Arabidopsis thaliana: one gene and its partners. The protein of the gene in region 3 interacts with the protein of the main gene of each other region in a pairwise test. Each region holds a gene or a part of one and is shown on either strand. Other genes may lie near its edges.

Region 1 (7,903 bases), on a different chromosome or scaffold from region 3:
TATTATTAGATGAAAAAGTAAATACTAACATTGTAACTTTAAATCCTTTTCTTTAAGTATGTCAATATGTGGAAAATAGACAGAAAAAGAACAATGTAACTGGTGCAAAAGTGGTGACTTGTCCCATTACAAATACGGCACACTTTCAGTCTCATAATCTAATTTGACTATGACGAGGAAAAATACAAATCTTCACAAACTACGAAAGACTTTGCATCAAAGTGATTTTTCTGCCGTTTCTAGATTTACTATTTGCTTTTTTCAGGTACTATTTCCTTCTTATTATTATTTTTTCCATTTTCACATAGTTTTGATATTATCATAAATATATTATCTGTTTTTTTTTAATAAATAAAAACACAAACCATATATTCCGTTACACTAAATTTCAAAAACAACCCTAAACATGAAAAATCCGACGTATAAAGAACATGAAACCCACATCAAAGAATCCGTTACAGACTTTTTTTTTCTCAAACTTAAGTTCATACATGTTTATTTATTTATTATTTAAATGTTCACATGTTTTTATATTTCACTCTAAATGATTGATATTGGTTAGTAGATTTTGTTTTCTAATGTTTTTTTCCTTCTCCAAGCATCTTTCTTGTTTGATAAAATTTTGTCATCTTTTTTCTCAAGTATGAACGCCTTGCATATAGATTTAATCTGAAACAAAACTGAACACATACAATGAATGATTAAACAAAAATGAATGTAAATATTTTAAGCTTAAATGGTTCATGTTGATATGCAATGAGCTGTTCGTAGAGTGGGCTTGTTACATAGGGAGACAAATATTTTGTTTTCTTTTTGACTTACGGTTTCTAATTTTGTCACTTTTACCATTGCTACACACTACCTTTTTTTTTTGTCCAATCCCCGCCGCTTTAATGATTATCAGATTGGACACATTTTATTTTCTTGATACTAATCCATCAAACCATCGCAGTCGTCTTTTAATAACTTTTATAACTAACTACAACAAAAATGTTAACGACGAGTTAGACCTATATAATTATTATGTATTGACTGGTGATTGTTCATATCAACGTGGTATCTTATGAAAGAACAATCTATGATGGATGCATCGTTAATGAAGCCTTTCTGCAATTATGTAACCTTGAATGTTTTTCTGCAATTACAGGGTTGATGATGATCGACTTCCTATGAAGCAATGTGTGGCGCCTCCCTATCTCATCCTATCGCATGATACATTATCTATTGTATTGTTCTAGCTCTCTAACTCTTCATTTTGTGAGTCTTCTTTGCTTTATCCTACAACTATCCAGTTAAAGTTGTGAGGTCTGGTTGCTTTCAAAATCGTATCTCGTTAACAGATAGACTTTTCTTGACAAGCTTGCTTTAAGGTTGGCGGTCTTTATAAGTTTATGATCCCTTCCATCATGGTTGTCTTTCTACACAATCTTTTATAAACAATTATTTGTTAAGTTGTTAACAAGAATGTACGACTATGTCTCAGTTTGTTGGAGAATTAGAACTCGTAATAGTATTTCTATATTTGCATTTGATTTTTTTTTTGTGTGTGGCTTTGGTTTTCTTTAATTGTAGAGTATATGATGAAGATGGTACTGAACCATCATACTCTTCAATGAAAGAGCCTCCTATCTAGCAAACAACGTTCTCTCAGTTCTTATTGTGGACTACCCCAATGTATAAAACTTTGTGTGTTATGGTATAGGTATGCTAGCTTTTGAAATCTTTTCTGAAACAGCTGAGTTTTTGCAAGGAAATGGTACCATTTTTTAACATTGAACGTAAGAGCCCTTGAGTTCTATTTTTCCCAGAAGATAGATTACTTAAAGGACAAGATCCAGCCTCAAAGTAAGACGGGTAATTAAGGTATTATAAGTGCATAAGTATATTTTGCTCAGGTTATACATTGGACATATATAAGAACTGGAGCATGAACGTCACATTTGTTTATGTCTTACTCATGTAGAAAGAGTGTAAGGAGTTTCAAGTGAGGATTAATACAATTTTCTTATCAATAAATTGAATCCACATTTTTTTAGCCAAAATTTTAAACTTGAAATTTTATTTTTCAAAGACGAAAATCTCATATTATTGATTCAAACTTGTATCCATAATTTTTTCATCAAAAAACATTACTCTTTAATTTTTTTTGCTAAAAACTAGAATTCGCAAATTGTCACCAAAAAGCGTGATTCCACAATTTATGGGGAAAAAATATCAATCCTCAATTTTCTTGCCAAATTACTACTATTTTACAAATTTCTCCCGAATAATGGTAACATGATTCGACAATACTCTCGCCAATAACGTGATGAAGCAAAGTCCACTATTTCAAGTAGAAAATATTCAAAAAAATATCAAAATACAAGTATATATAAATGTTTGTTATTTATTGAAATCTGTTCAGATATTATAGGAAAAAGCATATTCTTGATCTCTTAGTCTTCAATGGTTTTATCTTTTTCTTTGCCTTTGGTGGCCTCAAAGCTACCCTTATCGCTGTATCAAACACTGCCTTCACATTCTATTAAACATTCACAAACAAAAAACTTTTTCAGTTTATTTAATTTAACTTCATTAAGTATTTCAATTTACTATATATATATATATATATATATATATATATATTTGTGGATTCAAATTATTAGTATGAAAATTTTGGCAAAAAAACATTTGGAGCTGCACTCTAAGTACCTAAATACATGTTGAATTTACTCTAAGTACCTGTTGGGTTTTGGAGCTGCACTCTAAGTACCTAACAGCTCCAATCATTTTCCTTAATTCTTCTCCCTGTTACTCAAATCCATTCATAATTGTTTATGAATTTATTTTTGTATAGATTATTTTTTAAAGATTTGTGTATGGTACCTGAGCAGTTGTTATAGAAGCTGCTCCTGGATGATCCTTCAAGAACTGCTTGTCATCCCTCAAATCTATATTCATTTTTGTGTAACATTATTGTTTTGAATAAAAAGATATTATCAATAACACAAGAGATACCATAAATCAAATGGAGAAATGTATTAGCTTTTTCAATATAAGTTGTTGAATAAATGTTAAATTGGGCCACTATTCATGATGCCATTAACGATCCAAGTGGCTATATCTTCCTACATTTGAACATTTTTCTGCTATTAGATGAAAATCTAACTGTTTTTATACAACTATCGAATTTGAAAATGTTATTCTTTTTTCACATGTTTTTCATTAAAACTGTAGCATAACAGAACAAATAATATAATTTACTGGCCTGAATTAATTAGGTAATTTTTCAAAATACATTTACTATAGGTGTTATTTTCTAAATAACATATTATTTAGTGATATCTCAATATTATTCAGAGTGAAAGAGAGTGTATTACTATTTGACGAAAAAGTAGCTTCTTGTAGAATTTTTTTCTTTCTTTTGCAAATGAAAAACGTATGATCTGCGGATTATTACTCAAGACCATATCTAATTTGACACAAATGTTGATAAATTAAGTTTCTTTATGAACTCATAAGGGGAAAGTTTTCGTTACCTAATTTTGTTCCGACGAGCACAATGGGGATGCCAGGAGCATAATGTTTCAGCTCCGGAAGCCACTATTAATCACCAGATTAATTAATCAGTCAGTGTCAACAAATTTTTCTAGAAATACTTTATCATATAATCATAGTTTCTTATCTATAAAAAAAAACGGATGGAAAAACTTTTAAAGTTACCTTTTTGTGAATATTCTCGTAACTGGCCTTGCTTATAAGGGAAAATGCTAATAAGAAGACATCTGCTCCTCTGTAACTCAAAGGCCTAAGCCTATTATAATCTTCCTGACCTGTAATTCCACAATAATAACTTTTATCGTAACTAGCATTCATTAATAATCAGTTTTAGTATAATCAAGTAATCATACGGCGTACCGGCAGTATCCCACAGGCCAAGGTTCACGGTACTCCCGTCGACCACCACATTTGCGCTGAAGTTGTCGAAAACTGTTGGAACATAATCCTGTAAATTAGATAGTTAAATCATTTATATATCAAAAAACATACATTAAACCATGTTTCTTAAGTAAACAGATAGCAAAAATCCAGAAGCATGGGTTTGAATTCAGCTTTAGATATATTTCACGTTAATGATTCTAGGAAAAATATGCTTAAACGGATATGGAAATATAAACGCAAAAGATGAAACTAGGCTCTTATTAATTTGCCATGAACAACGTTTAAAATGAGCAAAGATCTCAGGAGCCTAACATAAATATCTTAAAACATCAATTTGAAAATATATCTGGATATATATCAAGTTTGCTAAGAAATTAAAAGTTACCGTAGGAAACGTATTGCTGGTATATGAAATGAGCATACAAGTCTTTCCCACTGCTCCATCTCCGACAGTCACACACTTAATGAATCTTGCTGTGCTCATTTTCTTTGCTTTTGTCTTCAATTTCTTTTATTTTTTTATGTTTATGAATTTTGTGAATGTGTTTGGGTTTTATGTTCAGAAGAGAAGAGAAGTGGTGGAAGGTTCTTAAGAAGCTTTTGTGATGATTATAGTTGTTTATTGGTAAGGAGGATGTCTCTGTTACAACTTTCATTGATCATTATTAGTTGCTTATTCGTAAGGGAAGGAAATTTGAAGCAAACATACTGAAACAAATACCAAATTAAAGAACTGGTTTTGTATATCATCATATATAATAAACCGAGTAAACCAAACAACTCCTCACTGAAACAATTGAATTATAATCTTCTTAAATAAATACAAATATTAAAATCATGTATTGAAAATAGTTAAATTTTATTATTACATGTACTCACTAATTTGTATTTCTTTCCAAATTTGATCTGACTTTTCTAACCAGGTCCAAAGCAAAATGATATTTAGCAGAATCGAAACAAATTTTACCAAAAAGCTGAAATATTGTTCACCTTTTGCCTTTCATATATTGGTTTGATATTTTTAGTTTAATTAAATTAATGAGTTAAAATGATTAGGAATTGAGTATTTCTTTAACTTCAAGTGCAAGATCATGCGGTCACCGAAAGTGATGTAGCCGTTTGGTGTTGGTTGTGAGTGGGTTTTTAAGTGTTGGAGAAGGAACTCTCATCTTACTTTCTCTAGTGTTTTTACATTTTCTTATAAAATCTTTTTCTTCAATATTTTATGTTTTGCCTTATTTGATTCATTTTAACAACATTCAATAATGACATGAATTGGCTTACATATTACGATTTTTTTAGTGTGTTCAAAAATACAATTTCCATCTGTCTTCTTCGTCACCTCACAGTTTTTTTGACGTCATCCAACACTTTTGTTTTACGTTATCCAACAATTTTCTTTTAAAGAGTATTATGCATGAAACTCTCATGCAGATATACGATGATTTATAATACTTTCTGAAATATGAATGATCAAACATTCATGGCGAATCCAAAAATACTTTTTTGGGACGTAAATAAAGTTTTTCTTCGAGGGGAATATATAAATAAAGGCAAATTTTTTAACTCAAATACAAATTACACTATTTATCAAAAACTGAATCAATGTATGTCCCCATATATAATGTTGATATTTACTTTCTTTAAAACCTTATTATAACATTTTTTATTATTATTATAATAACGTAGCTACTGTTACCTGAGTTTATAGAAGTACAGTTTGGTGCTTCAAGTAGTATCATACGTAAATCACTTCAAATATAAGTTACCAGTAAATTAGAGGTTATACTGCGTAGAGCAAAAGTTTAGGAGCACTAATGTAGTGAAAGTCTTTCTTTCCTAACAATTGAATTTGTGTGTCTCTTCCTCATTATGCATTTTTTATATAAAATTTTCCATTGATTTAAAATAGAGCATAATATTAATAATATTGTACTGTTCATACATTTTAAAATGGGATAAATGAAAAAATAGTCAATTTTTCAAACATATTTAGAAAACTAGTTATTTTACTATTCACAATTTGCAAAGTAGTCACTTTTCACTGTTTGATTTGTACATTTAAATTTGTACAACACTTTTAGTATACAGATGTAAGTGTACGCTGTGTATATCTATATACATATGTATACTAAAAGTATTGTACAAATCTAAATGTACAAATCAAACAGTGAAAAGTGACTTTTTTATAAATTGTGACTAGTAAAATGACTAATTTTCTAAATATGTTCTGAAAACTGACTAGTTTGCTAATTCAGGTCGATAATAGATAAAAACTTATCAAAATAAGCCCACTAAAAGCCTCAACTTGAACCTAGAAGTATCCAAAGAAGAAGAGCCCAATAAGCCTCAAGTATCTCATCTTGAGATGTAACTTGTAAGAGCAATCATCGACTTCTCCTTGATAGATCAGATTAACAAAAGGAAAATTAGAGTTGAACCATTCACTGAGCTAGCTGATTATAAGATCAGAGTGACGAGACTCTAGCTTGATCTCTCAACAAATCTTTTTTTATCCCTATTACTGGTTCCATTGTATAATCGAATAAAACAGGTTGACAAAAAAAATGCTATATAATAAAATAAACTAAGTAGTTTATCCGCATTATATGTAGAGTGAAATGATTATTATGTATAGTTTTAGTTATATGTATGTTAATGAAAGAAAAAGAAAAAAAGTCGAACGAACAAGGAATCTAACTATTCAAAGGTTTTATTTTGCGTCACAAGAAAAAATAAGATGTATCTTAACACCGTACGTATACTAGTTATGAGCTATCCATGTCACTATTAAATGTGTACCTAATACCTGTAAAAGATTGTTTGCCTGATTCCTTGATGAAATAATCAAATCACTTGATCCATTTTTAGGTATAAAGTCATGTAGTAGCGTTAATATATAGTTAGCTCGAAATAAATTATTTAAACAAAAAAAAAAAGATATATGTAGTCATAAATTTAATGAATACCCACAATATACAGCATCACAACATTTAAAGCATTACCTAAATAATTTGAGATGGAAGTTAATGTTTCCTGCAGATTAATTAGTGTTTGTTTCGTGAAAATCTCGGTTCAATAAAAGAGAATACTACGGATTTGAATGGTAACTTCGTAGAGTTTTAATAAGGAATGTACGGTTTTGACATTAACCAAATTACAAAAACGATATCAATTTTTTTATTATTAAAAACGTTATCCTCAATATTTTTTTACAGCTTTCATGTACCATTGTTTTATACAACTTTGTACTATTTGGTTAAAAATTACCAATAAAAGCTAAAACATTTGTACAACTTTATATCACCAATGGGAGCCTACATCTTCCAAAATTAAATTATACATTTGTACTATGTACTTTGTGTATCATATTTATTAAAAATGTGACTAGTTCATGTTGAGCTTCGATTATTGAATTCGTTTTTCCACCTTTGAAATATGTAAGTATAGAACATATTTTGTGTGTTTGCATATATAATTTTGGGTTCAGATGCATTAGTTTTGGATTTAAATTTTTCTGAAACAAATTAATTTGTACATTTCATGATTGTCGTTAGACATCATTTTTTTTTTAATATGACGGAAGTTATGTTTTTTTATCTATTAATAAAATCTAATAAATTAAAAAGCTATCCTGTTTCATTCTTTCTTAAATAATACTAACGTTAATGTTTTTAATCGGTTCAATTTGGAAAGCACTAATTCTTTCTAGCATAAAAAATCTAATTCCATTTTCTTTGTCGAGTTTTTTTTAATCACTATTACTTCAGCTTTTTTTAATGAACTTTTGATTGAGTTCGATCAATTAAACTGAAATAGACAACCCCTATTAATTATGACTGTATATCTTAGTATATAATGTGCTAATACACTTGAAGGTACCAACCAGACTACTCATTTGTCTCCACTCCAAACTTTCACAACAATGAGAAGTCATCACAGACATTTTTCTTCATATGTTTCCTTCATCCTCTTCCTATTC
Region 2 (6,622 bases), 700 kb from region 3:
TATTTAGGTGGACTAGGTGGAAAAACCCATTCATCAAAAAAGTAATAACTTTTACTCTGCTTAAATATATCGGTGTTGATGAATCTTGTTGCTTCATCTGTCCTTCCAGCTCTTTTATTATCTTGACCGCCTCCTACAAAACCATCATTTGTGGTGGTTTTGAACTCTTCGACTTGTATTTCAAATGGAAACACTGGTGGATCGCGAAGAGGAGGAAATTGCATGAAAGCTAGTTTCTTCCTACAAAGTAGGATAGTATCTCTTGAGAAAGATAACAAGGCATACATCTCACTTTGGTTAAGATCAGCAATTTCACGACCGCTTTGGAGTTGCATCATCAGCTCATCAATGACATGCTCCTTGTTCTTCTTTTTACTCTTCTTCAATTGTTCTTGAAACTTATGTGTCTTCTCTTTTAGGTAGGATTCGACATTTGACTCTTTCTTCTTCTGCACGGACTTCGGTAAAGCGAAAAATTCGTCTAGGAGACCATGAGTCGCCTGAGGAGATGGCCACACCAATGGTCCAACCTTATCGGGGCTGAAAATGATTACAATAGCCCTTACAGCACACAATATGGTTAGCTCTTTCACCTTTTTAAGTAATCCTACCCTCATTTTTTGCAAACTTGTTGCTCTTGACTTGTCATTCTCGATCCATACAAGTTTTACTTTCTTTCTTGTCATGATCACTCTTCGATTTTTATTTCTCTCTTTTAAAATTTTAAATGTTGTTGAGCATATGAATGAAGATTAGCGCGGGAATCCGTTTAAATAGTGTTGAAAAGATGAGATTTTGGAAAATGATACTAGTCAAAAGATGTAAAATTAATTGCTACTTACTAAAAAATATTGAATGTCTATGGTAATGTTTTAGTTAAACCAAACCTTTTAGATCTAAACCAAGTTGAAAATATCAACTCAAAAACTAGAATTTTCCTATGTTTTGGTTATAAAGTTATTTTCAAATATCATAAATACCATAGAAAATTGACTAAAAATGAAACTTATTTTGCTAAAAAAGTAAAAGTTTAAGAACTGAATTCAAAGCTAATTAAAAATTTACCAAACTATATTGGATTTGGTTTTACATTGATTATTCTTTAAAAACAATACTAGTAAACAAAAACTAAAATCCAAATCAAACCATTAACATGTTAAAATCTTTATGTGGTTAATTGTACTATTACAGAAAATTGAAATAACTGAATTTCTGTCCAAATTTAGGTCCTAGTCAATATACCAAATTGATGATTTAATTAATTGTTCTGTCATTATTTAATGCTAATGATTATATTGACTAACATTATTTTCATTGTTGTGAATCATATTAATTCATAGTGTTAGATAATTATTTTGGAAACTAAATGTTGACTATACATTTTCTTCAGTGTAAGTATCATTTTCATATTTACATAGTATGAATTAAATATATATATATATGTATTACCATATGTATACATAAAAGTTGACTCTTGAATTCTTTATTTATAAATTGTTTTTTTTACTTCAGATGTTTTCTTGTTATTACATTGAGACTCTAAACTGAGAATTGTTTATAATTGTTTTATACAAAAAACTGAAACAACAATACTTTTAAGGGAAAAATATAAGAGAATAATATATTCTTAAAACTCTAATGGACATCTTGTATCTTTTTCTTTTTCTTTGTTTAGCGATCTTTTTTCTCTCATCGTTGTGTTGTTGTGGTTGAATGTTTTCTTTTGTGTACGTAGTAACTCTCTTTGTTTCTCGATTTTGTTTTTTTTGGATTCGGTTTGGTACTACTTTGCCAGATTTCAATAATACCAAGATATAGAGGAAAACAATAAAACTAAGCTTTATTCCACATTGTCTGGTGATCTTTCATAAACAACATTGTATGATTTGATTACCAAAATAATCGGTTCTAGAAAAGTTTATGTCAATCTCTATCTAGTATATGAATCACCATACCCATATTTGTGCACTTAAATTATTACGTAACCAAGATATAGAAAAGTGTTGTGATTTCATATAACAAATGAAAATATAATAATCTATTTTGTTGTGTTTTGTATATATAATTATTATAAATTAAATTAATTATTAATATTGAAATATTCATGTATAACCCAGTCAGATATGGGATTATTTTTAATTTAAATTTTGTATAATACTGTTAAAAGATTCGAAATATAATCATAAACAAAAAATAAAATTGATTTTTTCTTGTCAACTTCCAATAAACACCATAGTAAACAAGAAATCACAGGACAAGGGAAATACAGAAACGGAGAACTCTTTTTAGTCAAAGAAAGCTAGGATTCGGACAAAATCATGTCCAAACACTTTGAAGGATGATCGATACAAAAAATTGTAAACTTGAATATGAAGTGTTGGTGTGAGAATACCCAGCTCGAATAATGTAAATAATCTTCTCAACGACAACAATTATGCATCCAGTGATGAACACTTTTTGAAAACGTGTTTCTCTCCATAGTTTCTACATTGATGATTCCTATATTACTAAAACTTAATAGAGATATGTGTAAATATTCTCAGAGATAAACAAAATATAACTATATATAACCTCTGAAACTCGAACAACCAAACAGAAATTATCATATCCTATCAATAATTATATATTAAGGTAGGCACACTGTGAAGGAAGTGTTGAACCAATAAAATTCCCATACAACTTTCCACCATCTCCTCCGATTCTCTTCCACATATACATACTTTATTGGAACCGTAATCTCTTTTACGAATTCCTTGAAAATAAAAATCTTCAAAAAAATAATAAAAATACCCTCTTATTTATCTCTATAGGTAGTAAAAAAATCCTCCAAAATTTTGCATGCAGAGCTCCTCATAGAATGCAATCTCTTTGATTCCTCTCAACAATGAATCTCCAATGCTCTTGACCGACCTTAGGGATGCTCATCGTATATAATATGATCTTCCACAAAAACAAATTAATAGAATTCCCCCAAGATGGGATCAATAAAATCCCAAATACTCCCCCAATTATGACTATATTCTTCTTCTCCTCCAAAAGGCCAAATGGTCGAAGATCCATCTCCAACCATATAACCCGGATCCAGACCCATAGAACATACCGGATCAACCAACGGCGGTGGATGAGTTATTGATAGACTCGAACCCACCGAACCAGCTAGAGAGTTCAAATCCTCCATCGAACTATTATTATTACACCCACTTCCTCCTTGTTCCTGCCCTAACGCCACCTCATGATGAAACGAAGTCGAATTAGTTACCGGAACATCAGTGAGCTCGATGTCAGAAATCTTGTTATTGTTAGTATTAGAATGAAGATTCTGATACTGTTGGTGTTGGAATTGTCCCATCTGGACCATCTGATTTTGTTGTTGTTGTTGTTGAGGGAAAAAACCATAACTAGGGCATAACATAGAGGTCCCACCATTAAGGAAGATGTTGTTGTTAAAAGGGATACCGTACGGACCAAAGTTGGCTCCTCCTCCTACGGTGGCGGCGGCGGGGCGAGGGAGGAGAGGTCTTAGGGTTTGAGTGGAGGAAGAGGAGGTGGAAGGAGAAGAAGCGGCGGAGACGGAGGAGGAAGAGGAAGAGACGGAGGAAGGAGACGAAGGGGTTAAGTTGAGCTGAGCACGTGACCCGTATAGGTAAACGGCAGCCCGGTCGTAGGCACGTGCGGCGTCTTCGGCGGTTGCGAAAGTACCAAGCCACTTGCGAGTGCGCTTACGTGGCTCTCGGATCTCGGCGACCCATTTGCCCCAGCTTCTTTGTCGAACGCCACGGTAACGGAACTTGGAGTTGTCCGGACCACCTTTGCCTTTGCGTTTGCGTTGAGCGGAGGAAGTTGATGAGTCGGTGGTGGAATCGGATTGAGGATTATTATGGGTTAGGGTTTGGTTATTATCTTCCAGATGGTTGTGTTGATGTTGGGAAGCTAAAGGGTCCATAGATGAAGAAGAAGAAGAAGAAGAAGAGGAAGAGGAAGTAGAGAGAGAAAGAGAGAGATTAAAGAAATTGAGAAAAATAGTGGAGAGGACGAATCAAGAAGGAAGGGAAACTGAAGAGTGTTTGAATGTCATCGTTGTGAATGGTCGATTAGGGCGGTGCTTCTTTTATTTATACTTACACTCTCTTCTCACTCACTTCTTTTTTTCTTTTCTTTTTACTTACCCGTTTGTTTTCTACCAAAGAAGAAATTTGTGTTGTCATAAGTTACTTGTTACACATTGGAATGTAATCAAGGATATTATAAAAACATTTAATTGCTTTCTTTCTTTTGGGTAACTATAGCAAATCATGAGCGATATATAACAATATCTTGAAGTTGGTTCTTTTCTTTGATTGGATGGGTAATTGTGAGAAATACTCGCATGTTGAAAACACTCCAAGGCATTCAGATTTCAGAGGATTCAACCAGAGAGAACTGAATCAAATTCACCAAGGTTAGGAATATTGCAACATATATAAGAGAAATAAGCGTGTTCAAAAATATATATTAAGAGAAATAAGAAACGAATAATCTAAGATGGAACAGAGATATCATTTTTGTTTGTTTTTCTAAGTACTTGTCAATTTAAATTGTAACAAAAACATAGCAAAAGATAGGCAATTTAAAAGATTAAGAAGATCAAGTGAATAAAACAGTAGACAAAGATAACAAAGAAAATGATTTATGAGTTCAAGAATTAAAAGCATCGTTTAAAGTTGGCAAGCAATGAAACTAGAATAAATCATTACATAACGGCTAACGGGGGCTGATTAGCCATAAATTGTAGAGAATGAAACACTAATCAATGAATAATTACAAAGCGTGGCATGAATTACCCAATTTTGTTCAACTCTCTTGCAATTTAAGTGGTTAACAAGCATTAACAGATAAGTATACTAAAAAGGATCAAGGTAATTAATCTACCATTACCAACAACCCTAGTAAAAGATCTAAATGCATTTTTAATAGTGATCTTTATATTTTCCTCTATTTATAGAGGTGACTCTATTTTAAAGGCATTATGTTCAAATGGTCACCTCTAAAATAGAGTTTTCTCTATAATAGAGGAAGAAATAGAAATATTTACTTTTTGTCTCTATAAATAGAGATCTCTACAATTCATCTCTAATTTTTCTTCTATTTTTGAGGAAACTCTATTTTAGAGGTGACCATTGGAGCACAATGCTTCTAAAATAGAGGCACCTCTAAAATAGAGAAAATTATAGAGGTGACCATTGGAGATGGTCTAACCATATTCGCCCCTAATTTGGTTTTAATCTAACTTTTAGTGTTGAACTTAACCGAAGCTTCTATACTTGATGATTATGATCTTAGAGAAAAATTTAAGCTGTTGGGAAATCACCTTATGATACTATTTTTTTGATGTTTTATCTTTATACGTAAAATAAAATTGTAAACATAGATATAATTAAGGGATCGGAGGAAAAACATCTGGTACAACACGTATCATATTTTTGGACATAAGTAAAAACTAGAATCATATTTCTGGAGTAGTACTTGTTAAATTTTGGAGAAGAAAAATAAGTTGATTTGCGCACTCGGAGAGTGTTGCAGATCCATTGCCTGCTGCAGCCACTGGAGGGACAGAAATACAGATGCAGAGAGACACAGTAATTATTTTTCTGCTTTCATTACATAGATATATGTGTTCATTTAGTCCACTTAACACCATTCTTGGAAGACGACTTGGCTTCAGTCAAATACTTCGTCCGATAGATTTAGATTTTGGATACTACACCTTTTATTAATCTTAAAAAAGAATTATGTAGAAATTTAAAATACTCACATGTCAATGGATAAATAAATAAATATATTAAAAAGAGGAGTTATAGTGTAGATATTTATGTACGCTTCTTCTTTCTTTTTTTGTCATCATTTATGTATGCTTCGACTTTAAGAAATATTAAAAACAAAATATAACTGACATTTTTTATAAGAAAAGGAATTTTGAAAACAGAGAGAAGAGAAGAGAGTTTATTTTTTTGGTCGCCTAGAAAGACTAATCTACCGTATAGATTATGATGTTTGACCCACAAATATAACAAATGGAAGACCATTAACGTTTAGACTTTTTTCGAAATAAAAACTTGACTTCTTAGATCTTATACCATTGAAATTAAGAGACAAATTTTCTTAATATTCTTTTACTAAAAGTAAAAATAAATAAAATAAGAATTTGTTGAATTATCTATTGTTCTTATGAATGGTAGCATATACATGACTCCTTTTAATCTATAAAACATAACTCTTAGAACTATCGTCATAATAACAAGTTTACTTAGAAACTTTTCATTGATACTACTAATATAGAATTAAAGATTCGTCTGCAAGGGATTTACTTTTGTTGTTTGCCAACTACAAAACTATCAATTATTAAACGAAGAGAAAAATAGGAATATTGCATGGGAGAGATGAGGTGGCGAGGAAAGAAGCAAAGACAGCAAAAGAACCAAAGCTTTTTGTGTTGTGGTTTCTGAGATCTCAACCCAATTGCCTTGGAACTCTCACCTTTTTATGTCTCAGCAGAACCCAACTAGTTGCGCCATACATTCATTTTCTTGCATTTATCCACTTTATTATATAGTATCAATCAATATAGCTTGATTATTCCAATCTC
Region 3 (10,696 bases):
AAGAAACTTGCAAATCAATCTAATCAAATTAGAGAATTTTCAAATCAACCAAACTAAAAAAACCTAAAACTTGGAAAAGAAGAGATTGAAAGGGAGGGAATAAAGACGAAACCTTTCTAGCATCCTTAGGGACTCCATACCCAGAGTAATACATCTGACCTAACAAAACCTGCATAGTGATGTTCCCAGCTTTAGCTTCCTCAAGAGTGTCTTTAAACCACCGCTTCGCACAATCAGAAACCACCGATGAAAGCGGAACGAAACGTCGTGTAGTTTCGCTGGTGGTGGTGGTGGATGATGAATCTTTGTCGGAACTGTCCATGGAGGAAATGGGTCGGATCGGTTTTGAGGATTTGATGAATCCAGCTACTGCTGCGGAAGCTCCTCTTAGCCCTGTTTTGACGGGAATCGATTTTCCCATTTTTAATTTATAAACATAAAAATAAATAAAAGGAAAAAATCGGTTTTCTTCTCAATCTCTTGTTTGGTTTTGGTTTGGTCTCATTGTATAAAATAATATTAAAATATCTTATGGGCCTAGCTCTTAAGCCCACTAGAATTTTTTTATTTTTTTCCCTAGCCCACTAGAAATTAAGACTAGCTCCTTGCTATTTCATAACGGTTACTGAATAAAGAGCTCTGTCTATATAAAGGCCATCATAAATTCTTCACAATTGCATTCTTTCGCTCTCGTCTCCTTGTTTTTTTTAGTAGCATGAGTTCGTCTAAGGTTTTGAGTTCAGACACTATAACGGTAATCAAGAATGATATCTCAGGATTTTTCACTCTCATATAGTTTCTTTTAGCCCTAACGTCTCAGGTGTGAACCCGGTCGAGGCTGTTGCTTATGGTGGTGCTGTTCCGGGTGGTATTTTGCGCGGACGATGTGGTCTGATCCCGATAATCAAGTATTCAGACAGGATACAGGTGGTGCCAGCCGAGAATAGAGATCAAGTATTAAGTAGGCTTCCAACTGATTTACATATGAGGATTGAGGATTGCCATACTTCCAATCCTCCTTCTCGATCCAACTACTCTATTTGGGTTCAAATTGAAACTCAGTTATGCCTGCAAATGATTTTTGTGAAGATCATCCTATTGGTACTAAGCAAGCAAACCATCATATCATTTCAGTCCTCTAGAAACCAAATATTACCTTTGAAGTGTGTGCAGTGCACTAACTAGCTGATTCTCATAGATATTCGTTATCCAAATGACCAAATATACAGTCAAAGGACACTGCAAATGATTGAGAACACACAATACATATCTATGTATGTATTCAAATACACATACATAGCCTACTAAAAGAATGTTCTATGAGCTAAAAAAAAGAACGAAACATTCCTACACACAAATTTCCGTAAAACTACTGCAAATTTCGGAATCTACTTACATTACAACATACACACACCTATAAAACAGTACACAATATACATACATACATATATAAATAACCAATGACTGTATGTATTTAATGTTATATGTCTGAAATAGAGATTGTATAACCTACCTGACTCCAAGTGCTTGCGCACTCATCATGATACAAGAACGAACACCACGGAAAAGCCAACGATCATCGATTTCAAGAATCACTCCAACTATCTGAATCTTCATCCTCGTCGCTTCCAGCCATTGCCTGCACCAGTGTTCAACCGGTTTTAGATGTGTGTGCGATAGAGAAAAAGTGATATTTTATTTGGTCTATGATCAGGCTTATAATTCATTGTTTCCACTTAAGAGACTGCTTCGGATCCAATCTAAGACATAATGTGAGACTAAACTCCTCAGATTTTCATGTCAAATTGAAATGCTTTGACATGAAGCCTCTACGATTAGCAAGGACCACAGAAAAAGGTGAAAAAACTTGAAAACATTTACTATCTTTGAAGGAGATGGAAAGAGAGTAACGAACCATGCGTATTGTATTTGCTTTCTCTAAGATTGCAGCTACCCTTAAGTCTGTTCTAGGACCAGTCTGGATGCTGGGTCGTGTTGTTACTGCCGGCTTTAGATTGACGGACTGCATAAACAAAACACAACTCATAAAATTCCAAATACAAAATTCTGTTCACAGGACCATCTGGGATTTTACATGATCAACATGTGCTACCTTGTTTCGTATTTGTGCAAGCAACGAATCTTTGTCATCTTGCTTTGATTTGATTGGTGGATGGACCATCTCAGAGACTTTCTTCATCTGGCAAATCATCAGAACAAGTGATTAGAGACATAATCTTAGCAAAGGCATGGTATTGCAGACAAGATGAAATTTTGTACCTTGCGTCTGTCATGAGCTGCAACAGCATCGACAAGCGGACTTCTTGGCCTAGGAAGCCTAACCGTAGGGACCACTTCTGTCTTATATGTGTCCAAGGTAGGTGCCACAGAGAAACAGCTAACAGGCCACATAGCATCTCCCACTGAAACAGGATTTATCTTCTGAACTGACGTGTTTGATGATTCTGCAGTTTCTGCATTTGAAGCATCAGGAACCGAATGACCCTTATCTTCTACCTTTGTTGATTGAGTTGGCGTCAGGGATTTGGTTTCAGGACAATGGTGATCATCGCTTGAACTTTGAGATTCATGCACATCAGCATCGTCCTTGAAATCTTCGTGTTTAACCTGAGGCAGCTGCAATGACGACGCTTGAGAGTAAACGAGCTCGTGGTTCTGAGCTGCATGGTCAGCCAAAAGATTGTTCTCCTCAGAACCAAAATCCTCTATGCACTCCTGATAAGGTATTGTAGGGAGCTCAGAACTGTCGTATTGACTATTCAAATCAGTGCTCATGGTTGGGAACTGAATGGATGATTGCAATGGCTTTTCTGATGCATTGTGAACAAACCCTCCAGGAAGTCGTTCTGATTCGTCACTTCCTAAAGATACAGATAGCTCTGATGGTGGAGACCCAATTTGAACATTCAAGCTAGAACCAATGGGTGGTGCCGCTGATAAAGCAGAACTACTGGTTTCGACTGATTCCCCCATGAAGGTAGGAAAAGAATGTGGAACCTTTCCAATAAGCCATTGCATAGGAGGAAGGGGTGGCATGTCCTCTGGATTGGGCGGAATAGTCTCAGGGATAAAACCAAAGCTAGGAAAAGTAGGATCCAGATTCAACTCTTGCTTAGGTCTGTTCAATTCTATACCTGCAGATTGTGGTGCAAATTCTAAGCCTGCTGATTGTGGTTCAAACTCTAAGCCCCTGAAAACATTTGACTGCAGCAATTCCTCATCTGCAACTTCATGGCTTGCATAAGATGTTTGCTCTCTAACTGCCTGGTCGATAGCCTCACTCTCTAAAAGGTTCAGATTATACACTTGTGTGGAATCTATGCAATTATCATCAAGAATGCTCTCACCAGGAGATTTGGTTTCTGTGTCCCTGTTCCTTTGATCCAGAGATGGCTTGGGACTTGTAGATTCAATACTTTCTACGTCCTTGTTGTCTGGTTCAGTACTCAGACCTTCTGAAGACACTTCCAGAGGGCTTTTATGCATTTTTATTTCCGACTCTGGATTATTGTCTTCCAGTAGTGTCCCGTCAGACTCTACAACTGTATCATGGAAAATCTCTCCAGCATCAGAAGACGATTGATAAGTATTGGTCGAAATCCAAGGCAGAGAACCCTTCCCACGAGTCGATGACAGACTAACGGCATGATTAACACCACCACTGGAAGTGTCATTGTCATTATCAGACACATCAAGCTCAACGTTCGGGACAATGTCTGTGGTTGCGTTGTCCAGCCCTGAAAGGTCATGAAAACCTTCATGAGAGATATGGTCATCGCATTTGCTACAAGTAGGTGAAGCATCTCCCGCCAATTTCTCTACTCCCGAGTTAAAATCAGAAGGCACGGACATTCCATTCTCTAGTGTGTCTTCATGGGACTCTGAAACAGACACATCAGCCGTGTTGCCAAAGGCACATGAATGCTCATCGGAGATCTCAGCAACTGAACTTTGAGAATCAATGTCAGCAACTGAACTTTGAGAACCAACGTCGGCAACAGAATTTTTAGAATCAACGTCAACAACAACATTAGTCACTGAAACACAATCGGTTTCATCATCCAGAGTATCTTTTAAGTGAATTCCATCAGCTGAACTTGGACCACAGACTTTAGAGGGCGTATCAGGGGAAACTTCCATCCCCACCCCAGCTGAGCAAGGTACCAGCTTTCCTGTTAGGCAACGACCATCACGTTCTTCAGGATCGCTGCCTGAGTTTGCTAAAACTTCAGAACAAGCAACTATAGAGTTTGTCTCAAAATCAGTATCAGCGATAGGTAACTGTTTACCAGTTTGACTATCAACAAACGCTTGAGGACTAGTGCCTGAGTTTACTAAATTTGAAGCAACCATACAGTTCTTCTCAATGGTACTATCACATCTGCTTCCTTCAGAAGTTGAACTAATTGATGAAGTTTCAGAAGGCAAGTCAGAGTTTTTAGCATCAAAAGATGCACAAGATTTTGAAGAATCGAATGGATCCACCTTTCTTCCATCATTGCCTCCCTTCATTAGATCAAGCCTAACAAGTTCTGGAGAAGTTTCAACGACTTCTGATGCTAAAGATTGAACTGTCAGTGAACATGATTGATCATTCTGAGAGACTGGCCTTGGACTTGAACATGTACCATTCGAACTTAATGATGTCTGGCCATCTACATTGCTGCTACTAACTGATTCCTGAACATTCAAGTCATGAGACACTTTGTTGGCTTCAGGAGTAACGTGAGACATAGAATCCACCAACTCACTCTTAAAACTAGAAGTAGAAGGTAAACATCCCGAAAGTTTCTCTCCATCAGATTGATCATCAATGGATATGCTTGCAGTGTCCGAGTAAGAATAACTAGTGCTCTTTTTCCCAAACGAGCTTCGCCCATTTTCCGAAACTGGTGTGTTTCCATTTGAATGAGAAAATGAAAACTGAGGTGGGTCCTCCATTCTCTCTTCAACCGCATCAGAATATATATGATGGTTCCCATCCTTCAAAGTATCTGATCTACTCTTAGGTCTACACTCATCGTCTGTTTCTGTTTCCGACTCCATGGTGGCTGGTGCGTCCACATAATTGTCAGCCTCACTGGTTAAATCTTCAGAATAACTCCTCTGTTGAAAAAATCCTGGCTTCCCGTTCAAAACCGTTTGTGAATCCTGTGTAATAGTTGTTCCACGGACCTCATTGTATGTAGATTCAGGCACTGTCTCTATATCTTTTTCAATAAAACCCCCATTCATGTTAACATTTGCCACATTTTCCTGCTCACTTGGGAATGAAACCTCTGCTCTGCTTCCTCCATGAGACTTATCCATAGCACCCACCATACTGATTTCAGGTATATCGGTTACTACATCTCTAGCACTATCCATATTCCATGTCAACAATCCGGGGTTTTGGGTAATTATTTCATAACTTATCTTACTATCTACACGTGTCTGCACAAATTTCTCCATGTAGCTTTCCCCTGATTTTGAAATAAGGGAACACCCATCTAGCTTTCTGGTTTTCAACTTCACAACGCGCGCTGGATCTGAATGATGAGCCTCTAAATGCTCCTCCAAAAACAATTCATGCAATCTGTGCCAGTTGAATAATTGAAACCAGCCATTTTTAGTCACAGTCAGATACCAATATAGGAACTACATATATATCATAACAGAAATGACAAACACACAAGACATAAAATAGATAATACTCACTTGGCATGTGATGATAATGCATTTTCAGGTGTCCCTCCATTCCTCCACTGAGATGCTCTCCTCTACAAGAGAATAGAAGGAAAACTATGAGAATCACAAAATGGAAGGTAAGATTACACATTCAAAACACCATGAGCATAAGAAAATCTACTATTCAGAAAATCTACCATGTAATGGAAACCAAAATATAACCAAGAAGGATCACACTGCAACCCATAAGCTACAACCTGAACTAAGAAGCTAGTACCTTTGCTTTCTGTGATTTTTTCTCTCTCTGAATATCATCCCATGATTCTTCATATGAAGACGTTTCAAGCCTAACAAACGATGGATCGGTGTAGCGTTTCAAACAAGCCCCAGCTCCGGAAATATCAAACCTAATCAAAACCATCAGAAGATGTTACATATATCCTTCTCTAACAAACGACTAAAGAAGAAGTCCTATCAAACAAGGCTAAATCATACTTGTCCAGAAGAAATAGCCTTGGAGGACCTCGACATTCCTCATAAGAATCCATCACACAACGAGGTAAGTCACCACTTGTAACCACACTCTGTTCCAATTGTAGATTCGGATGCCATTCCACACCTGAAATAGAGTCACAGAATCATGTTGAAATAATCCAACATCATAGTAGCTGACCAGATCATGAATGTTCATAGCAATCTAACCTTTGTTAGAGAAAAACGGCGAATGATCGGTTTGACACAGTAATGCCTTCTCTATAGAAGGAAACTCTGCTTCCAACTGTTGCACACGAGCCATTAAACCATGGCTTCTAGAAGCAGTAGCCATTACTTCTTCGTGCAAGTCATGAAACATCTCAGCAGCAAACCTTCATCACAAATTACATGAATTTAAAGACAATTCCATCAAAAAATCAAAACTTTTTCCACTTCCACAACCAAATCCAGATTCATCAAAATTGTCGCTTTACAACAACGGATTCCAAAACTTCGAATTCGATGCGCTTAGAGATCAATTAGAGAAATTTCGATTGGAGAGAAACTTACTCAGCGAGATCACCGAGTTGACGCAAAATGCCAACGAGACCAGCCATAGCGACTCCTTCAAGCAGAGCTTCAGGGTCATCTTTATCAGCAGCTTGATACAGATCCGGATCTGCTAATCCATACTCGTTACGAGATTGGTACCTCGTCAACGGCATTGTTTGAGCTTCTCTGTCTGATCAGCTCGCTGATACTTTTGTTCAAATTCTAAAGGTAAGAACTTTAGAAAGAAGAAGACTAGAAAAGCTTCTCTGTCTTCATTTAAGTAGTGACCGACCACCATTAGATATGTGACGACATCACTTAGCTGGAAACTAAAACGGACTTTCTGTGGATTCAAGACGGCGGATATAGGTAGGGGCAAAGAGAGAGAGAGAGAGTCTGAGAACCTCAACGCTAAAAGACTTTTTAAGAAAACATTTCTTTTTCTATTTTTCGATAGCCAGAAATACTTAAAAAATTGTTACTTTTAGTGAAAAATTCTTACAAAACCAAAACCTTGTTGCAATAAAACCTGCATTTAAGACCAAACCCCTCGGGAACCTGATAGTTTCAGGCTTGAGGTTTGTCCAATTGTGATCCCTATCGAAACCAAACACAATCTAATTAAAGTCATTTTTGAGAAACGGATGAGAGTTAATTGAAAGATTAAAAAGGGAGCGAAGAGTCTATTTGAGTGTCACTGTTACTTCTCTGCAGGAATATTAAAAGACGTTGAGTTTCGACTACAGCCTACAGGTATGATTCGACTTCTCTCTTCTCACCTTAAAGTTTCTGTCTTTATATTCTTCTTCGCTCGTTGTAAAGCAATTCTTATTTGAGCTCCAAGTTTGAGATTTTTTTGTTTTATCTTGAAATCGTTTTTGGTTGATGTTGTTGTGAGTTTCAGGTTTAGACATGTCTTATATTCCACCACATAAGAGGCATTCGAAGGATCCGACAAAGCCTACCCCTGTTCCAGATTCTCTTGTTACAAAATTCAAGAAGAACCTTGACTTTAAGAGTAGCACTAGCAGTGTTAAACGCAACAAGATTATCTATTCAGGAGATTCCATTTCCAAATGGTTTCTTGTTGGTTCAAATGGAATTGAGGACGATGTTCCTTCGTATGTTAAGTTTGTGCCCTTGTCCTCAGATTCTGTCGAGTGTAGAAAAGGAGAAAAGCCTTCAATACTGATGAACAACAATGTCCAAAATGGTAAGAAACTATTAGTAGACTTTGGCTATGTGTTTGACAAAATGAATATCATCTAGATGCTGAAATAAACAATACTATTAACTATTTTGTTTGTGCTATTATCGTTTTTGCCAAAAGAAGATGCATTGTATCTATGTTGAGTATGGTTTTTTATATGTTTATATTCAGTGAATATGAATATTGGAGAGAGGAAGGATGAGAGAACTCAGTGGCTATTAGTAGCTGAGAAGGTTATGGAGGATCTTGTGTTGGCATATGAGCGAGTTAAGACTGAAATGAAGGAGCATCATCATGTATCGAGACTGGTTGCTCGGTTTGGTAAAATTTTCTTCTATGGGTAAGCGATTCACCGTCTGATCTCACATTTTGCTGTTTTCAGGAATGGGTTTATATTTTTTCTAACATATACAACTTTAAACCAGGAGTCAAGCTGGTCCTGTGGCTGAATGTTCACTAAAAAACTTGAATAAGATGTTCTCTACTGATCTCCCAATGTCTTACTTACAACACATAAAATCTAATGTTGTACCAAGCCATGGATTCTCTATTGATAAGGAGAAGGAAACATACACTGTGAAGGTACTCGTTTCATTTTCTTAGATTTAGATCTATACTTCGAATGTCATTTGAATGTGCTAATTTGGGTTTGGCTTCTATTTTTAGGTATCGCATTATTCTCGTCCTAATGCAACCATCAACTGTAAATGTACCCGTAAGGAAGATGGACGGCTCAGTATGTACAAGGCAAGTCTCGAGTTTTATGTGTGTAGTGACTACAACCAATAGTAAAATCTCTTCTTTATTGTTCTCGGACTAGCAAGAAAAACAAACAAGAATTTGATAGATGTCACATTTTTACTTGGTCTTCCTTTAATATCTAACTTTGAATCTTGAGTTTTGCTTTTATATAGGTCGACCTTAATCCTGTAAGGCATTTGGTTGTTGATGTGTCATGCATTGATAAGAATCTCGACATGAGACTAACGCTCACCGCTAAGAGGGAAATAACGTATCTCAGTGTAAGTTCAAGTTTGGTATATATATTTTACAATATATGGATAAATAATATGCTCTTCTTAGACTTAGGTTGTGTGATCTTTCTTTGATCGGCAGGATAAAGAGATAGGTGACATTAAAGCGCTATTGGAATCAGCAACTGTTGATCCAAATGTAAAAGGCGGTTTAAGGTGGCCGTTTGGTAAAGCTTTATCTGAAGATGGATACAAAGAATTTGAAGTTTGTCACGTTAGAGCTACTATCTACAAAAATAAAACTCTAAGGCTTAGGGTAAGAGAGACTGATAGATTCAATGAGACGACTGGAACAGGGGAAACCAAGAGGGAGGTGAGTTTGACGCTTAAAGACATCGACACTAAAATACAGGTAAATTATTGTGCTCTTGTACTATTTTAGAAACTCTAATGGAAGTGCGAGGCTTATGGTGATAATACTTGTGGTCTGCAGGAGCAGAACACTGAGAGGGGTTGTGTTTTGGAGATGCTACGAGATGCTCTTGGAACTATATGGGACTTCTTGCATTGCGATGCCTATCTTACATGATGAAGAACCATATGATGTTGCTTGTTCTATCAAGTTTCTTTTTAATTTCTTTTACTTTCTACTGTGTTTTGGTACAATAATGTTGTTTTAAGGTTATCAAGGATTGTACTTGTGTGTGTCAAGAAAAACAGAAGTTAAGTTTTGTTACCAGTCCTTTCATTTATGTGAACATGGTGTATGAATGACTCATTGCATACTGAAATTTTCTTTTACCTAAAAGCTATAATCGGAATCCAAGCAGTACACAATACACTGAAAGATTCCCAATTATCACAGTCAAGTTTGATGGATGTGTCAACTTTGTATACATTAAGGTTAAAGGTAAGTTTCAGTGATAGCAGTGGAACAATTGGTGCAATTAACGTTGAACAAACAGAACCAAGCTACTTCGAAAGTCTTGCCAAGCAAACTAATCACTCTTCTATTAAGTTCTAACAATCATCAATAAGACCAAATACATCAATTTTACAACTATTTAGAGATGCTCCACATTGCTTAAACCAGGTGTGCTAAAAGTTCGACTGCTTGATCCATCAAACCTTTCTCACATAATCTGCTAATGACTTCCTCAATTCTCGAACTCTTAACGAACACGTTCATGTTAAATGCTTCTTCCAATAAACCATGAGCACAAACAACCTCGTCTACCTCAATATATGCACTAATCATAATATCAAATGTGTGGCTGTTCCGGTTAACTCCATTCGTCTCCATCTCTTTCCATAGAGTCTTAGCTCGACTCAGATCTCCAGCTTTTACCAATGCCTTGATCAATATATTGTATGTAACTACATTAGGCTCAGAACCTAGCTTGTTCATTGAAGACATCATCTTTAAGGCGCCTTCAATATCGTTCTGCTTGCATAACCCATTGATATACACATTATAGGTATAAACATCAGGAGCCAAACCTAACAAGAGCAACTCATCAAACAACTTGTCTGCTTTCGGGTAATCCTCATCCGCAATAACGCCTTGCAACACGATTGTATAACAAACAAGATCAGGCTCTACTCTGTCACATTTCATCTGATTCAGTACACTTACAACTTCTTTCCCCCTTCCTCCTTCCACCAAGAACCTCATCACAACTGTATAATCCCGCAAACCTGGCGAAAACCGAGTCTTTCGCAGATCTTCCAAATATCCAATTACATCGAAACATGACGAATCCTTGTGTTTACATACAGAACTCAGTAACCGAGAGTA
Region 4 (6,813 bases), 2.3 Mb from region 3:
TCGGTTTAATGGGCAAGAGAAACACAACACAACAACTCCGATGTAAAATACACTTAACTGAGTGAGTTTACAATAACACAAACTTGATTAGGTGGAACAGAGGAAGATGCTGAAACTGCAACATTAATTGAATAAATCGAGAGTTGAAGACGTAAACGCCGCAACACATTCATAATCTTGTAACACATTGTATTGATATAGACTAACGAAAGTATTAAACATCATCATCTTTAGTCACATGAATTCCTACTTCACTCCTATCCAAAACAATCATTTTACACCAAAGAAAGTAGTACTAGACATGTTTTAACCTGAAAGAGACAGACAATGACACATTCTATAACCGTTAGGGACAATCTCGACAAGTTGAGACGGTTCTGCAGCTCCATGAATTCCTACTTCACTCCTAAGCAAACCAATCATTCTACACCAAATCTCTTTGCTTTCACTAACATTAAGACTTGGTTTTTCCCATATAAACGCCAACTTTCCGTAGTATTCCCCGATTCCAACTGATCGAGCGTTGTCAAGATCAAAACCATAAACCACTCTCCACAGCATCAGTTTAGAGTCATACCACATTAACCCGAATCTAGAGAAGTAAACAAAGAGCACATTGTCAATCACGCACAATCCTACTCTAGACCATTGATCATTAGGCATCTCAGATCTCTGACAAGAACCATCTCTAGTGTCATAACAAGTCATGCCTTCACGAGATCTTAAAGCACAAACCTTCCTGTCAAATGAAACATTTGCTTTACAAATCCACCTGTGACTTTCTTTTTCATCGGGAATCGGCGCTGCTTCCCAAGTTTGCGTATTTAGATCAAAGCTTTCCGCTGCAATCTCGTCGTCCTGATAGCCTCCGATCACATAGACCTTACCGCCGACTAGTCCTACGCAATTGTACCCTCGCTTCACTAGCAAACAAGGTCCTTGACGCAACTCCCCAAATCGGGTGTCAAAGATCGAAAGTCTTGATGAAGGAGTACAAGATTCTGAAATGAAGAAGATCTTTGGACCAACGGCGTTCATGGAAAATCGATTAGGCTCGGAAGGATAAGGGAACTCAATGGATTCGAAGAGATTCTCGGTCGTACTGTTCTCGATTCTCCGGAGAGTGTACCAGTAGTCGTATACGGGGCGATAATTTTCGTCGATGAAGCCGATATAGAGATAATCTTTTCCGAGTAAAGATCGAGCCTTGTGAATTTCAGGCGAGCGAACAAGACTCCGCATGTTCTTGGAGACGGAGCAGAGGATTGGGTAATATCGTTTTGGGACGCGGGCTAAGATCATCGAAATGATTTCCAGTGGCAGTGACAAAAACAATGACGGCGATGCCGATGCCGATGCCGATGACGACGATGGTTGGTCGGTTTTTCGCGGTGGTTCGTTGGAGCTAGACATCGACTCTAGTTTAAAGGAGAAGACTAGAGAATTGAGATTTTATTGATTTATTCTATTTCGGTTTCGGTTATTAGCCAAAAAACAAAACCCGGTTTATTTATTCTTCGATTCTGTTTCAATCGGTTTATTTTGTTTCTTTTTGCGCTAAAACGGTTCTTTGTTGTTGTCTCTTGAACTCAAAGAAGACAAACATTGTTCTTTTACATAGACTGATAGACGAGAATTCGCTTATAATTCTGTTACAAGAATCTCTACTACAAGATCAAACTTTTATAACGAAGATAGCTAATCATACTAAAATCTGCAAGAGTCCTTCATAGAAGAAACACACTAAAAAAGATGTAAAACAAACCAAAGCCAGAGACTTGAGTACACTAGTCAAAGAACATGGCATAAACCGATCTTTCTCTTTCGCTTCTTAGTCTTTGAAGGAGGATGTAAAACTACTTTGATCGCTTCATCAAACACGGCTTTTACGTTCTGCAAATTTAGCATCATCATAAGTCTTTCTTTATCAGATTGAGGTCCAAAATATTTGGTCTAATTGTAAAATGTAACTCAAGCATTAATGGTTACTTTACCATTTGTGCTTTTGAGCTGCACTCTATGTATGCTAATGCTCCTATTTCCTTTCTTAGTTCTTGACCCTATAAAAGAAGCAATCTTTGAGTTATAAAAGAGTTTGATTCTTAACATGGTTCTTGATCATATACATTGAAGAAGAATCTTTAAAAAAACATACCTGTTCTGGGAAGATTGTGCAAGCACCTGGATAATTCTTTGGGAACTGCATGTTGTCTCTTAGATCTGCAATATCAAGAAATTCATCTTATATACTACATAACATCACTTACACATTGATGTTAGATTCCTAACATTCAAGACATAACAGAGTGGTTCATTATCTTCAACCTGATTTGGTTCCCACAAGAACAATAGGCACAGTCGGGGCATAATGTCTCAGCTCGGGTACCCACTGCGAAAGAAAACCGATCCATATGCACATGAGATCAGTGTTGTAAAGTTAAATTACAGTGAAATTAAAAGTAAAAGGAAAGATAATCTCAAGTCTCAACCTTTTTAGCAATGTTCTCAAAGCTAGGCCTGCTAATAAGTGAGAAGGCAAGAATGAAAACATCTGCTCCTCTGTAACTCAATGGTCTAACCCTATTGTAGTCTTCTTGACCTGTAATATAATGTGAATCACCCAAAAGATATATAACACAAGAATCATAATTGGTCTCATTTAAGTTTTGAAGAAACATGAGCAAAATCTGATAGTGAATTCAAGAACCAAAACAATGTTGCATCAAAGATTCAAATTTTTCAACTGACTTCTTTTAAAAGGACCAAAAGATTAGACCTTGACATATTGTTGTAGATATAAAGCTAAAGACAAGAACAACTTTGACATTAGGTAAAAGCATTTACCAGCAGTATCCCAGAGACCCAGATTGACAGTTTTACCATCGACTAAAACATTAGCATTGAAATTGTCGAACACTGTTGGAACATAATCCTGTAATAACAAGATCTCAACAGTCACCAAAAGCTATCAAGAAAAGCAATCCAAAAGAGAGAGAGGGAGAGATGGATTTATATACAGTGGGGAACGTGTTGCTGGTGTAGGAAATAAGAAGACAAGTTTTGCCCACAGCTCCATCGCCAACAGTGACACACTTTATAAACGTTGTAGCTGTTGCTGATGATGTTGATGTTGCAGCCATTGAAGCTGACATTGATTGAGAAAATTCTCTGATTTTACTTACCCTGTTCTCTCTCTTTCTGTGGTTTTATTCTGGTTCAAGTGAAGAATGAGAATGAGACTTGAGTGGTAAAAAAGGAGTCAACTTTAATTTGAGCTGTCAGAGAGCCAAAACGCCTTAAAAATAATTTTTTATTCGGTGGGTTTGATTTCTTTCCTATTTTTTGAATTTAGATAGATTTTGCCATATTTTACTTCTTTCCAAAAAAACTCTAATTGGTAACACATAGCTGTACATAACTTTTATCTGTTAACTTTTTTTGAAATAGTATAAAATTACTAAAAAACAGTTATATTAAAAAAAATGTATAAAAAAGCTGAGAGAAAAATCTTTTAGTAACGCTTTTGATAAAAAAAATTATAATTGGTAGAAATGAAAGTTGTACAAATTATAGTGCTTTGTTTTTTTCACCAATCAATGCAAATGCAAAGGTCCAAATGTTTCAGCAAAATGAAAATAAGTGGTGGTTATATCAAATCAAATTTTGTAAATTCAGTTACATTTACATGACTAATTTTACAAGATGTGTAATTTTAATTATCTCTAGATCATTTGTTTTTTTTTTCGATTTAAGTTTGGACAATGGATCGACCACCAAACACATCATCATTAACAAAGATGGAAAGGCAAGTCCATTATTACTACCGTGTTGATACAAAAAAAAATGAATTTTATGATTTCTTTCTTCCTAAGATATAATTTGGAATCATAGTTTAAGTACAAAAAAATGTTTCCTTCTACGTGAATCTTTGTATTACAACTGTCAGTGTCATAAGGCCCATCCGAAAAGCCCATTTCTAAATACTAGAATTTTAAAAAATTAAACAATGATTAAAAAAAAAAAAAAAAACAAAGAGAAGAAAACAAAACAGTAGAGAATGAGAAAAAACCACAGGGAAAAGCAGAGCACTCTTTATCTCTTCTTCTCTCTTTCTTCTACTCTGTGATCAAACTATCGAAGAAAAAACAAACCCTAGATTTATCCGCCCCTCTTCTTCCTCTGATGATAAGAAAGTCGAAGACTTTGAGAATCTAAAGCTGAAAAATTTTGTTTTTTTTCATTGAGGGAATCGAATCGAGTTATGTACAAGGATCGGAGTGGAGGAGGAATAATGGGTGGTGGTGGATCATCGAGATCGGAGATCCTTGGTGGAGCTATTGATCGGAAACGAATCAATGATGCTTTAGACAAACATCTTAAGAAATCTTCACCTTCTACATCTAGGGTTTTCACTTCTAAGGACAAAGATTCTGTCCCTTCTACTTCAACTGCTAAATCTCAGCTTCATTCTCGTTCCCCCGATGGTTAATTGCTTATATCTCACTCAATTTCAATTTCATGTGGTTTTAGTACTTTCTGATTTGGGTATTAATAAATTTTGATTCTTTGTGGATGCAGTTGAATCTGACACGGATAGTGAAGGATCAGATGTGAGTGGTTCAGAAGGTGATGATACCTCTTGGATCTCATGGTTTTGTAATTTGAGAGGGAATGAGTTTTTCTGTGAAGTAGATGAAGATTATATACAAGATGATTTCAATCTCTGTGGTTTGAGTGGTCAAGTTCCTTACTATGATTATGCACTTGATCTCATTTTAGATGTTGAATCATCAAATGGTAAGTGAAGGGTCCATTTGATGAATTTAGGCTTTACTTTGTCTGAGAATTGTTGTATAATTTGGAGGAATGTTTATTGGATTAGGTGATATGTTTACTGAAGAACAGCATGAGATGGTGGAATCAGCTGCTGAGATGTTATATGGTCTTATTCATGTTCGTTATATTCTCACTACTAAAGGAATGGCTGCTATGGTAAGCAAGATACTTCTTCTACATCTTTGTTTCTGATTGATCTTTTGAATGATATCTTTCTCTTTTGTAGATGGAGAAGTATAAGAATTATGATTTCGGGAGATGCCCCAGAGTTTTCTGTTGCGGACAGTCTTGTCTTCCGGTTGGCCAATCTGATATCCCGAGGTCGAGCACTGTGAAGATATACTGCCCAAAATGCGAGGATATTTACTACCCGCGATCTAAATACCAAGGCAGTATCCTTTGCTCCTCTGTTCAAAAAAGCTTTATCTTGTCATAATATGATGCATCTGCTATTGTTTGGTTAAACATTGCGATTAGCTAGTTTGTTTGCATTAAATCTTTTAGAAGATAAAGAGTGTTGTCCACTTGTCTTAGTGTTCTTTCCTTAATGCTTATTGCAGACATTGATGGAGCTTACTTTGGAACTACTTTCCCTCATTTGTTTCTCATGGCCTATGGGAACATGAAACCGCAGAAGCCGGCTCAAAACTACGTTCCTAAGATCTTTGGCTTTAAGGTACACAACAAACAATGATACTCTCTCCTCTCAACAGTCTTGTGGTTGAATACAATCTCGGTGGCTAAACCACCATTCTTCTGATGGTCACGGGTTTGAAATGGATGATACTAAACTGCGTTTGGAGGATGAGAAGAGCTAATGAAGAAAGGTCGACACTTAAAAGTTTTTCACTATGTAATCTCAAAAGTTCTAAGTAGAATCTTCAACATAGAACCGTTCTTTGATGGGTCTTGGGAAATTCTTTACCTGTGAGTAATCAATTAAATCATTTACCAGATGGATGGATTTTGCTTTGCTTAACTGTTGTCTATAATTGCTGAAAATTTAGGGTGTATCCTACTTATCTTAAGTTTCTTGTGTTGTACGGAACTAATCTTCATTTTTCAATCACTATTAACCAAAACAAATCTGAAAACAAAAGATAGATGGAACAAGAACCTAATGAAAACCAGATTTTGACATTCTGTAATACAAAGATATAAACACTTGAAACTCGGTCTAGCTCTGGTAAAGTTACAGGTCAAGAAGACTACAATCATTGAGTTATACAGAGGAAGAGATGTTTTCTTTTTTGGTTCTGAATATCAAATTCTTCATAGAAAGTGGGAACTGTCAATGTCTTAACCTAATATATGGGATCTTGAGAAGCCCATTTAAGGCCCAAAAAAGCTGTCACTGTTACACATTTAAAAGATTCCCCGGAGTTCTTAGTTAGTTGCCTGCCGTAAAATGCATACCGCCAAGAGCAGTCGAACTGACTAATTTGTTCAATGCGAATAACTATAAAAGCCAACAAATCTTAACACCACCAGTTTGAATAAATTTTGTCGATTTCTAAGACACCATTACGATCACACGCAGATACAGAAATTGAATTTATATTTATTAAGAACATAGTTGTTATGCTCTGTTTATTATGGAACATCGAACAAAATTTCAACCCCAGATTACAAAACCATCACATCACACAGCCAAAATTATTAGCATCTTTCTTTCTCTCTGCCCCCAAAACTCCACATTCATTTACATAAACCAGATCTACAATTTCTCAGATTCCGACAACCGGAATTAGAAAACTAGTTATCTCCGATCCATAGAAAGATCAATAGAAACAGAGCAAATCTTTTAGAGGCTTTGGAGATATAAGTGGTTTTAGGAGGGTTTATAGATTTTAGACAAAAAGGTATTTATATAGAAGAAAAAAAGACTATTTGCTTGATTATGTAACTGAAGCTTCTACTAAGCCACGACGAGAGTTCCTGTCCGTACGGTGTTTCCGGCGGCGGATTCTTTAGTTT

What was found.
Region 1: the proteins of SCAR2 (region 3) and RAC2 interact in a two-hybrid assay, tested with the Arabidopsis thaliana proteins (one study listed by BioGRID).
Region 2: the proteins of SCAR2 (region 3) and ABI4 interact in a two-hybrid assay, tested with the Arabidopsis thaliana proteins (one study listed by BioGRID).
Region 4: the proteins of SCAR2 (region 3) and ARAC9 interact in a two-hybrid assay, tested with the Arabidopsis thaliana proteins (one study listed by BioGRID).

The regions. Positions count from the first base shown.
Region 1 is NC_003076.8:18,640,263-18,648,165, reverse strand, and holds RAC2 (RAC-like 2), read right to left. Parts: upstream 4,627-7,903; 5' UTR 4,406-4,626; coding exon 4,307-4,405; intron 3,986-4,306; coding exon 3,898-3,985; intron 3,813-3,897; coding exon 3,703-3,812; intron 3,583-3,702; coding exon 3,519-3,582; intron 2,931-3,518; coding exon 2,866-2,930; intron 2,788-2,865; coding exon 2,722-2,787; intron 2,522-2,721; coding exon 2,408-2,521; 3' UTR 2,190-2,407; downstream 1-2,189. Other genes in the region: AT5G45960 (GDSL-like Lipase/Acylhydrolase superfamily protein), read left to right, coding at 7,847-7,903. UniProt on the Arabidopsis thaliana protein: Inactive GDP-bound Rho GTPases reside in the cytosol, are found in a complex with Rho GDP-dissociation inhibitors (Rho GDIs), and are released from the GDI protein in order to translocate to membranes upon activation.
Region 2 is NC_003071.7:16,793,643-16,800,264, forward strand, and holds ABI4 (Integrase-type DNA-binding superfamily protein), read right to left. Parts: upstream 3,944-6,622; coding exon 2,957-3,943; 3' UTR 2,605-2,956; downstream 1-2,604. Other genes in the region: AGL48 (AGAMOUS-like 48), read right to left, coding at 1-686.
Region 3 is NC_003071.7:16,091,741-16,102,436, reverse strand, and holds SCAR2 (SCAR homolog 2), read right to left. Parts: upstream 7,203-10,696; 5' UTR 6,888-7,202; coding exon 6,733-6,887; intron 6,555-6,732; coding exon 6,391-6,554; intron 6,308-6,390; coding exon 6,184-6,307; intron 6,096-6,183; coding exon 5,966-6,095; intron 5,781-5,965; coding exon 5,719-5,780; intron 5,597-5,718; coding exon 2,281-5,596; intron 2,201-2,280; coding exon 2,114-2,200; intron 2,024-2,113; coding exon 1,916-2,023; intron 1,640-1,915; coding exon 1,586-1,639; 3' UTR 1,216-1,585; downstream 1-1,215. Other genes in the region: AT2G38450 (Sel1 repeat protein), read right to left, coding at 113-421; AT2G38430 (uncharacterized protein), read left to right, coding at 7,627-7,927, 8,096-8,264, 8,350-8,506, 8,591-8,671, 8,839-8,946, 9,041-9,310, 9,392-9,487; AT2G38420 (Pentatricopeptide repeat (PPR) superfamily protein), read right to left, coding at 9,983-10,696.
Region 4 is NC_003071.7:18,425,615-18,432,427, reverse strand, and holds ARAC9 (RAC-like 9), read right to left. Parts: upstream 3,308-6,813; 5' UTR 3,153-3,307; coding exon 3,018-3,152; intron 2,933-3,017; coding exon 2,845-2,932; intron 2,600-2,844; coding exon 2,490-2,599; intron 2,390-2,489; coding exon 2,326-2,389; intron 2,221-2,325; coding exon 2,156-2,220; intron 2,061-2,155; coding exon 1,995-2,060; intron 1,894-1,994; coding exon 1,792-1,893; 3' UTR 1,546-1,791; downstream 1-1,545. Other genes in the region: AT2G44700 (Galactose oxidase/kelch repeat superfamily protein), read right to left, coding at 307-1,413; CKB4 (casein kinase II beta subunit 4), read left to right, coding at 4,262-4,484, 4,579-4,797, 4,883-4,992, 5,063-5,228, 5,397-5,530; AT2G44670 (senescence-associated family protein (DUF581)), read right to left, coding at 6,755-6,813. UniProt on the Arabidopsis thaliana protein: Inactive GDP-bound Rho GTPases reside in the cytosol, are found in a complex with Rho GDP-dissociation inhibitors (Rho GDIs), and are released from the GDI protein in order to translocate to membranes upon activation.